2 linked regions of the Drosophila melanogaster genome follow. The protein of the gene in region 2 purifies or fractionates together with the protein of the main gene of each other region. This does not show direct contact. Each region holds a gene or a part of one and is shown on either strand. Other genes may lie near its edges. The genes, in order: mil and Mst77F.

Region 1 (3,925 bases), on a different chromosome or scaffold from region 2:
TGGGAGTTCTGGCCACCACCTAGTTCCATTTAAAATAAGCAAAGCAAACTAACAAAATTCGTTTATGAACGCCATGCTGCCTGCAGCTCAAGGAAAGTTCAACCAAGGTGCAAAATAATTTGTTGCAATCAGCTTAGCCTGGCCAGGATTCCGAGGATGCGATGCCCTTCGCCCGATGCCCGATGCCCGACCAACCAAAAATGGTTAGTGAGTGCCATGCCCTGCCATGGTTGCGTTTCTGGGGCCGGGCAAGTTTTCAATTTAAGTTGAATTATTATGACCTTAATTAACACGTCGTTTCATCATCAAATGCCGCACTACATCTTATGCTTTTGTTGCAGATATTTCGGCATGGCGCCGTTGCTTCAGTTTCAGGAGCAGGTGGAAACGTAGGAGTTCCAGGCTGCCAGGTTGCCTGGCTCGTGGATGAGGATGTTGAGCTCCTGATTCGATTTTCTGCAGACATGCACTTTTGCCAGGAAGGAGCTGAAGCAGGAGCTTTAATCCCTGCGCCAAGTAACTGTTGCTCCGGTTGGTCGGGCTGCGCCAAACCATTCCATTCTGCTGGGCTCTACTAATTTTGGTTTTAATTAAATTCAAACTATGTTGACGCTCCCGGCACTGACGACCTCCGACGAGCGGCAATCACGTGGGTGATGGCCATGGTCCCCATGTTCCTCCAAATGATCCTGATGATGCTGATGATGATGGGGCTGCTCCATTACTTATGTAGCTACATTTTATGCACCGCCTAATTGAATGACCGAAATGTAAATTGAAAATGCCCGAATAGCTTAAATGGTTGTGCACTTGAAGAGTCCTTGATTAGTTGATCTTGATTAGTTCCCAACTATCGATTTCCATCTCATTTGGATTAATACCTAACTATCTTGCATATTCCATTCCTGCTAATGATAATGACGTGAAATATATATACATACCAATTATTTTGCACAGTGCAGGCATACACTCGTACAAATGTGGAAATTGGCCAGCCAGAGCCGTCATCATCAGATGCCTGGCTGCCTTACACTATTTGCGTTATGATTTCTTTTTAATTTCCCAGCGGTATTTAGGGAAAAAATTTAATAATATCAAATATGAGAGCAGCGAGTGGTGGATGTCCTGTGGAGACTGGACAAGTGCATGTGCCGTGTGTCGTGTGTGTTTGTATTTGTGGGCAAACATTCAACAGCGCACAACAATGCGATCTCCCGCTTTTCCCGCTTATCCTCTGCGGCTTTCATTTGGCGGATGTGTGTGTGCGTTGTTGTGTGTGTGTGTGTGTGTCTGGACTTCCGCTTGGCTGAATTTGTTTACACTTTTTTTTCGCCCGCCGCCACTGGCCCACTCATAATTTCATTTTGAAATGTTTGCCTAAGCGACAATTTCACTCTTTTTTTTCACTTTTTTCTGTTGTTTTTCACAGCCGGACATATGGCACTAAGCCTGGCCCACATTATTAAAACCAGCGACAAAAGACAAGCGACTCTCGGATAGACCAGAAACTGGGTCCACGGTCCATTTAACAGACTCCAGGAGGCGATGGCGATGGCGATGGCGATGGCAATGGCTGAACCTGAACCCTTGGCGGCACAGCACTCAGCACGTGATTTGCATACACTTAGGCCAGGCTGGCGGCACCCAGTCCAAGCTTTTGGCCCACACTTAATTACATGCCAAATGAAAAGTTGGCGGAAGCAAACAAAAAATTTTGGGGAAACCAAAAATATATAAACAGGAAAAGAGCAGGAATTAAATGTGCGTTAAATTGCCAATAAACATGGCCTGCATCTCAATGGGCAAAGTAAGGCGAAAGGGGTGACTAAAACAGCAATAACACGAGGGTTTAAAAATGTAGCTTAAAAAAAAAGAATAATAAATTGCTTAATATTTTCTAGTACATCTAGTTAGTTCCAGCACTTTAGTGAAAAGCGGGCCTTGCCTTTTGTGCTGGGAGTTTTGGGAAACTGATAGAGCTACTTTTCATTCCCACAACGGCAGTCACAGCGAAAACGCACACGTCCAAATTTTATACTTGAACAAAACCAAATCACTTCAAGAAATATTTTTTTTATTTTTCTTTTGATTATCGTGTCGAAACATAAATGGAAACTGTGCGAAATCGAAACCCTCCGCGGATGAAGTACACCGCTCCACCGAAGATGGAATCGGATTTAAACTTCACCGAGAAGGAGAAGAAAACTCTTACCGAACTGAAGCAGCTCTATTTGGAGACCATTAACCTGGATGTGGCTCTGCAGCGCGACATTTACAATATCGAGAAGAAGTACGAGGATAAGCACAATATCATATTTGATAAGCGCAAGAAGATTCTAGAGTAAGTCCATTAATGGTGTTTGGTTAAACAAGATCTCAATTCCCCCAAAAATCCCATCGGTGCAGTGAGTTTAGAAAGCAAAACCACGGCGACGTGGAAACCAATCAGAGCGTGCCCAACTTTTGGCTGAGGGTTCTCAAAGCATCGTACACCGAGTTCATCAGCAAGAGGGATGAGAAAATATTAGAGGTATGTTATGGATAGATCCGATTTGAAGGATATTTAAATTTTAATTGAAATTTTTCCCGCGCAGTGCTTAAGCGACATCCGTTCTCGGCTGTACAACGAACCCGTGGTGAAGTTTGATATCGAATTCCACTTCGATCCCAATGATTACTTTACCAACACGGTGCTGACCAAGACATATTTCCTCAACTGCCTGCCGGATCCAGACGATCCGCTCGCATATGATGGCGCCGAGATCTACAAGTGCGAAGGCTGCGTCATCGACTGGAAGCAGACCAAGGACCAGACCAAAACCGGTAAGCCATCTGGGAGCATCAAATTTCACAGATGTTAGTTGAATTCACTCATTGACCAGAAAATCAAGAGCCGTCGTTCTTTGAGTTCTTCTCGCCGCCGCTTTTGCCAGAAGATACCCTTGACCCCAACTACTGTGACGTCAATGTAAGATTGAATATCAGCGATCTGCGATCCTTTCACATGCATCTCCTCCCACAGGCTATGCTGCAAAACGATTTTGAGGTGGGCTTCTATCTAAAGGAGCGCGTGATTCCCAAGGCGGTGATCTTCTTCACCGGCGAGATTGCCGATTGTCAGAGCTCCAGCGGATCGGAGACCGAGTCGGAAGATACCGAGGACGAGTCGGATGCCGAAGAGGAGGATGGCGTCGACAAGTAAACATTTTACACCGCTTATATACAGTTTACATACATTTTTAACTCGAGTCACCGAACTATTGGCCTGTCCTTACCCACTACATACCAACCAAATAAACATTTCATTATACATATTTACCAAAAGGATCTCGCGCGCTCTTTTTAATGCCTAGCTAAAGGAATTGAATTGTGGTTTTGATTTATACAGTGCGTTTAGCCTGGCGTGTATATATTACAAGGACTCGAATAGTCAAACGTAATACTAGATGGCTGAGCTACAGCACTCGCTTGTAGCCAGCGTTGTGGATCCATCGGCTTGGCCATGTCGTCTTTTTTCTTAAAAAAAAATAAAATAATCCAGCACGGCCCACTTCGACGGAATCTTTACAAACAATATTCTAAGGAGCCACCACCTCCTGTGGCGGTGGCGATTTCGGTGGCTGCTCGTCGTCGGCGCGCGGCGGTGGCTGCAGCATCACCACCACCGTGTCATCCTCTTCCTGTGTCTCCAGCTCCGGAAGTCTTTCAAACTCCTCCAAGTGATTGGCGACCACTTCGCATTTCGGTTTGGAGATCTTGAAGCGCCGAATTGCCGGAAGCGTAATGCTGGTGCCACTAACATCGATATACACCAGATTCGGAGAGCACTGCACCAGGTGCTCCAGGGTATGATTTGTGATGAGATGGTAGTTTCGCAACGACAGTCGCTCCAGTTTATTGTCTGGCGAGCGATTGATGTTCCGGA
Region 2 (3,925 bases):
TCGAGTTTCAAGTGCAAACTCGACATTTTGTCGCAAAAAGCAGCTCGTGGGGCATTATGAAATGCACTTTCTTTAAATTAGTATATAGTTTAGGTTACTATATTCTACTGTATCCCAAAAATTAACCCCTTTCCATTTACCTTTTTGCAAAAAATAAATTTATAATGTTTAAATAAAATGTGAACATTTTCTTCCTGTTCGTTCTTTTTCTTCAGATACGAAAGATATTTTGAAAGAATTAAAAGGCCTTAACGTAAAACATAGCAAACTTTTTCATATTTTATTAAATTTTTATATTCTAAGTAGGGTATTAGGTGCTCGCGGAATAAGGTAAACATTTTTTTGCATGTTTTTATTTGTGTTAGAACTAACGACATCGTGATTTGTAGTCACAAATCGAATCAACAAGACACCAATTTCAAACGATTCAAAGCTTTCTAGTATGCGCACACTCCCACACTTTAAATCTTTTTTCCGCCAAAAGCTTTTCAGCACAAATTCCTAGTGATTTCCTACTGTTTTCCGGAAATTGGAAACTTTTCCGACTTTCCAACTTACTTCGCGTTCCCGCTGGCGCTCAAGCTCAAGTTCCTGTTCACGTTCGCGGGCCAGAGTGGAGAGATGAATCTGCAGGCTGCGATCGCTGACGGCATCCTCCTCGGGAATTGTGGTGCAGGAGGTGCGAACATGCCGCATGCGATGCACTGCATCCAAGCTCAGCCGATGTTCGTGATCATCGCGGAGCAGAGCATCGAACATGGCCACCCCGCCATCGATGCTACTTTCGCGCAGGATGCGTCCGCCGCGTCCACTGCAATGGGGACTCTGCTGCTGATTCTGCTGATGCTGATGATGATGGTGGGTGGTGGCCACCACGCCCTCCGAAAACGAACGGATGCGCATGGCGCCGTTGGCATCGGTGGTCAAAGCCACCGAGCGGAAGCGATCGATGACCGCATCCTGGATGCTGTTCACACTCAACTGGTTGCCCATGGCGCGCGGAGGCAAACAAATAAAAAGCAAACGAACGGAGTGAACTAGGTGGAAGCAGGATGCTTCTGCACGGCGTCAGGATGCTAATCCAACTGACAGCGGGTCCGGCATTCAACAGGCAACTTGCCCCAGAGAGTCCGGCGCACACACACAGGCGTACTCAAAATCAAAGTTGGGAGAAAAAGGGGTAAGGAAAGTCGCTTGGCAAGTGAGAGGGGGAACAGGACGATGTGGAAAGGACCTCCACAGGTGCGCTGCTCTATTTACATTGCAGCATTGCAAGCTTTTGCTGCAGCCTGTCTCACAAAATAAACTTTAAAGCTTCACAATGAACAGAGGGAATACAGTTCTCCGAAGCAGGAAGCCGAAAATAAAGCATCCGTGCTGGGAAATCCACCTATGGATGGGTTTTTTTTTTAACAATCCGCTCGAAAATAGACCGCAAGTTGTATTGATTTTCGTTTAAGCGGCAGCATTAACCAGCAAAATGCCGCTTGTTGCTTACCAAGTGGTTGAAACCCCGGAAAGGAACGTAGTCGCACAGGATAATTTAAACACCTTCCCTCACCAACGACATTTCTGGTATTTCTTACATATTTTGTTCAGATTATAATATAACATTTAGTATTGCTTTTGTAAAATATTTGTTCATTTCATTTCATTGAAAACAAGGAAGTACGCTATTCTATTTCGTGAATATCAGATACGCGTTACTCAGCTAGTCGGATTGCAAACAGAATATTAAAACCTTTTTCAAGACACACGGACGGACGAATATGGCCAGCTCGACTGATACTGATCAAGAAACATTAAACATTTTCTCCTACAATATCTTGAACGAATATAGTATACAAAAATAACCATGGAAATATGGCGCCGATCTGCGAAATGTACTTTGAAAACAGCCAACTTGGTTTGAAAAAAGGAACTTTTTCTTGATCATAGTAGAATTGAGCCTTCATTCAAATCCAATTTCCAGGTCTCCACGCTGAAGCCAGCATACAAACAGTTAGTACACTACCTTTGAACGAGGAACAACTAAAATATTTCGATAAAATTGAGTACAGTTTTTTATACATATATAATTTTTTTTTGTATAATTCTGAGTAACAAATTTGTTTGTGAAAATTTCTGTCGAGCAAGAATTGGTTGCAAAATGAGTAATCTGAAACAAAAGGATAGCAAGCCGGAGGTGGCAGTAACAAAATCAGTGAAAACCTATAAAAAATCAATTGAATATGTTAATTCCGACGCCTCCGACATTGAAGAAGATATCAATAGGGCAGAGGACGAATACGCCTCATCGTCTGGCTTTGTTAATTTTCTGAGGGACTTTAAGAAGCGCTACGGAGAATATTACTCGAATAACGAGATAAGACGGGCTGCTGAAACCCGATGGAACGAAATGTCATTCCGTCATCGATGCCAGTATTCTGCGGTAAGTTAGGTGTCGAATACAAACGAAATGCACATGTATGCAATCGTAATGCACTTCCGCAGGAACCATTGGACACTTTTCATGTAGAGCCCAACAGTGTGAGCAGTCTTCAGCGTTCTAGTGAGGGCGAGCACAGAATGCACTCTGAAATAAGTGGCTGCGCAGACACTTTCTTCGGTGCCGGTGGCTCCAATAGCTGCACTCCAAGAAAGGAGAACAAGTGTTCCAAGCCCAGGGTGCGGAAGAGTTGCCCCAAACCACGGGCGAAAACCTCGAAGCAACGTCGCAGTTGCGGCAAACCGAAGCCCAAGGGCGCCCGACCCCGGAAGGCATGTCCCCGCCCCAGGAAGAAGATGGAATGCGGCAAGGCGAAGGCAAAGCCAAGGTGTCTTAAGCCCAAGAGCTCCAAGCCCAAGTGCTCGATGTAATCGGAGGTTTCATCTTCCACACCCTTTCCTACACCACTTTTCGGCCATTTTTATTGATCAGGAACCAGTCAAAATTTCCCAAATGATGTAAACAACTTGCGTTGCTAGAATCTATGAACTTGAGGAACCTCCAGTGAACCAGGAAATTAAGAAATCGATCATACGGATCTGATAAACCAAGGACATAACACAGGAAGGCCCAAGCATTGATCCTCAAGGCAACGATAAGCGGTTGTACTGTTTAGAAATAAAGGTTTTATGTCTGATCAAATTTCTACCCATATTTTATCTACCAATATATATGGTATTATTTATAATTTTGGTTTTGGACTCACCCTCTCGAGTTTCTGAAAGTACTGTCGCAGGAACTGCACGGGATTCTCGGGTCTGCAGACGCACAGCTGGACGATGCAGTCCTTGAGGACTCGCTGGATCCCATGCGTCTGGATGTAGTGTTCGCACTCCCGCAGGCTCTGCTCCTCCAGCGTTTTGGCCATCATGTAGGACATGTGGTACGGTGGAGGTGGGATGGATTCCAGAGTGGGTTTGCAATGAATGGCAGTGATGATATGGTGATGGGGAAACAGCTTTCAAGCGCCGCACTACGCAAAATATACGTATGTAGGTATGGATGTATATATTATGTACACAATACGTTTGTGTGGGTGGTTATTGAATGTCGGTTATTGTTTCGCTGGCAAATCGGTTAAAAGCACTGATAATTTAAATCTAAGCCTGCTGCTTTATCAACCCGTTTGCTGTGCACCGCTTTCGCAGCTTTTCCTTGCGTTTTTGGCACCGTTTTGTTCCGTTTTCCACACACACAGCACAACCCCGTTTTCACTTGACAAAATTTACGTTTCCGGACCTCTTTGCAATGTCCTAATGATTAATGCCCTTAGCCCCGCACTCCCCCGCAGCATATGGATTGATCGATGGCTGTCGGAAAGTCAGTTAACTAAGTTATTTTCATAAAACTTAACCAATTTTCACGCACGTCAAACGTTGTTGTTTTTTTTGGGCTGCATGCAGTGGTGAGCGTCTGATATGGTCACGTTCATATCGA

The links.
Region 1: the proteins of Mst77F (region 2) and mil purify together in Drosophila melanogaster (affinity purification with western blotting; one study listed by BioGRID). This does not show direct contact.

Annotation. Positions count from the first base shown.
Region 1 is NT_033777.3:27,910,460-27,914,384, forward strand, and holds mil (milkah), read left to right. Parts: upstream 1-1,987; 5' UTR 1,988-2,108; coding exon 2,109-2,341; intron 2,342-2,406; coding exon 2,407-2,530; intron 2,531-2,594; coding exon 2,595-2,823; intron 2,824-2,882; coding exon 2,883-2,968; intron 2,969-3,022; coding exon 3,023-3,202; 3' UTR 3,203-3,326; downstream 3,327-3,925. Other genes in the region: CG5003 (uncharacterized protein), read right to left, coding at 3,579-3,925.
Region 2 is NT_037436.4:20,816,103-20,820,027, reverse strand, and holds Mst77F (Male-specific transcript 77F), read left to right. Parts: upstream 1-2,000; 5' UTR 2,001-2,149; coding exon 2,150-2,431; intron 2,432-2,493; coding exon 2,494-2,859; 3' UTR 2,860-3,127; downstream 3,128-3,925. Other genes in the region: Pka-R1 (protein kinase, cAMP-dependent, regulatory subunit type 1), read right to left, coding at 559-993. UniProt on the Drosophila melanogaster protein: Not known. Encoded in the intron of cAMP-dependent protein kinase regulatory chain type I.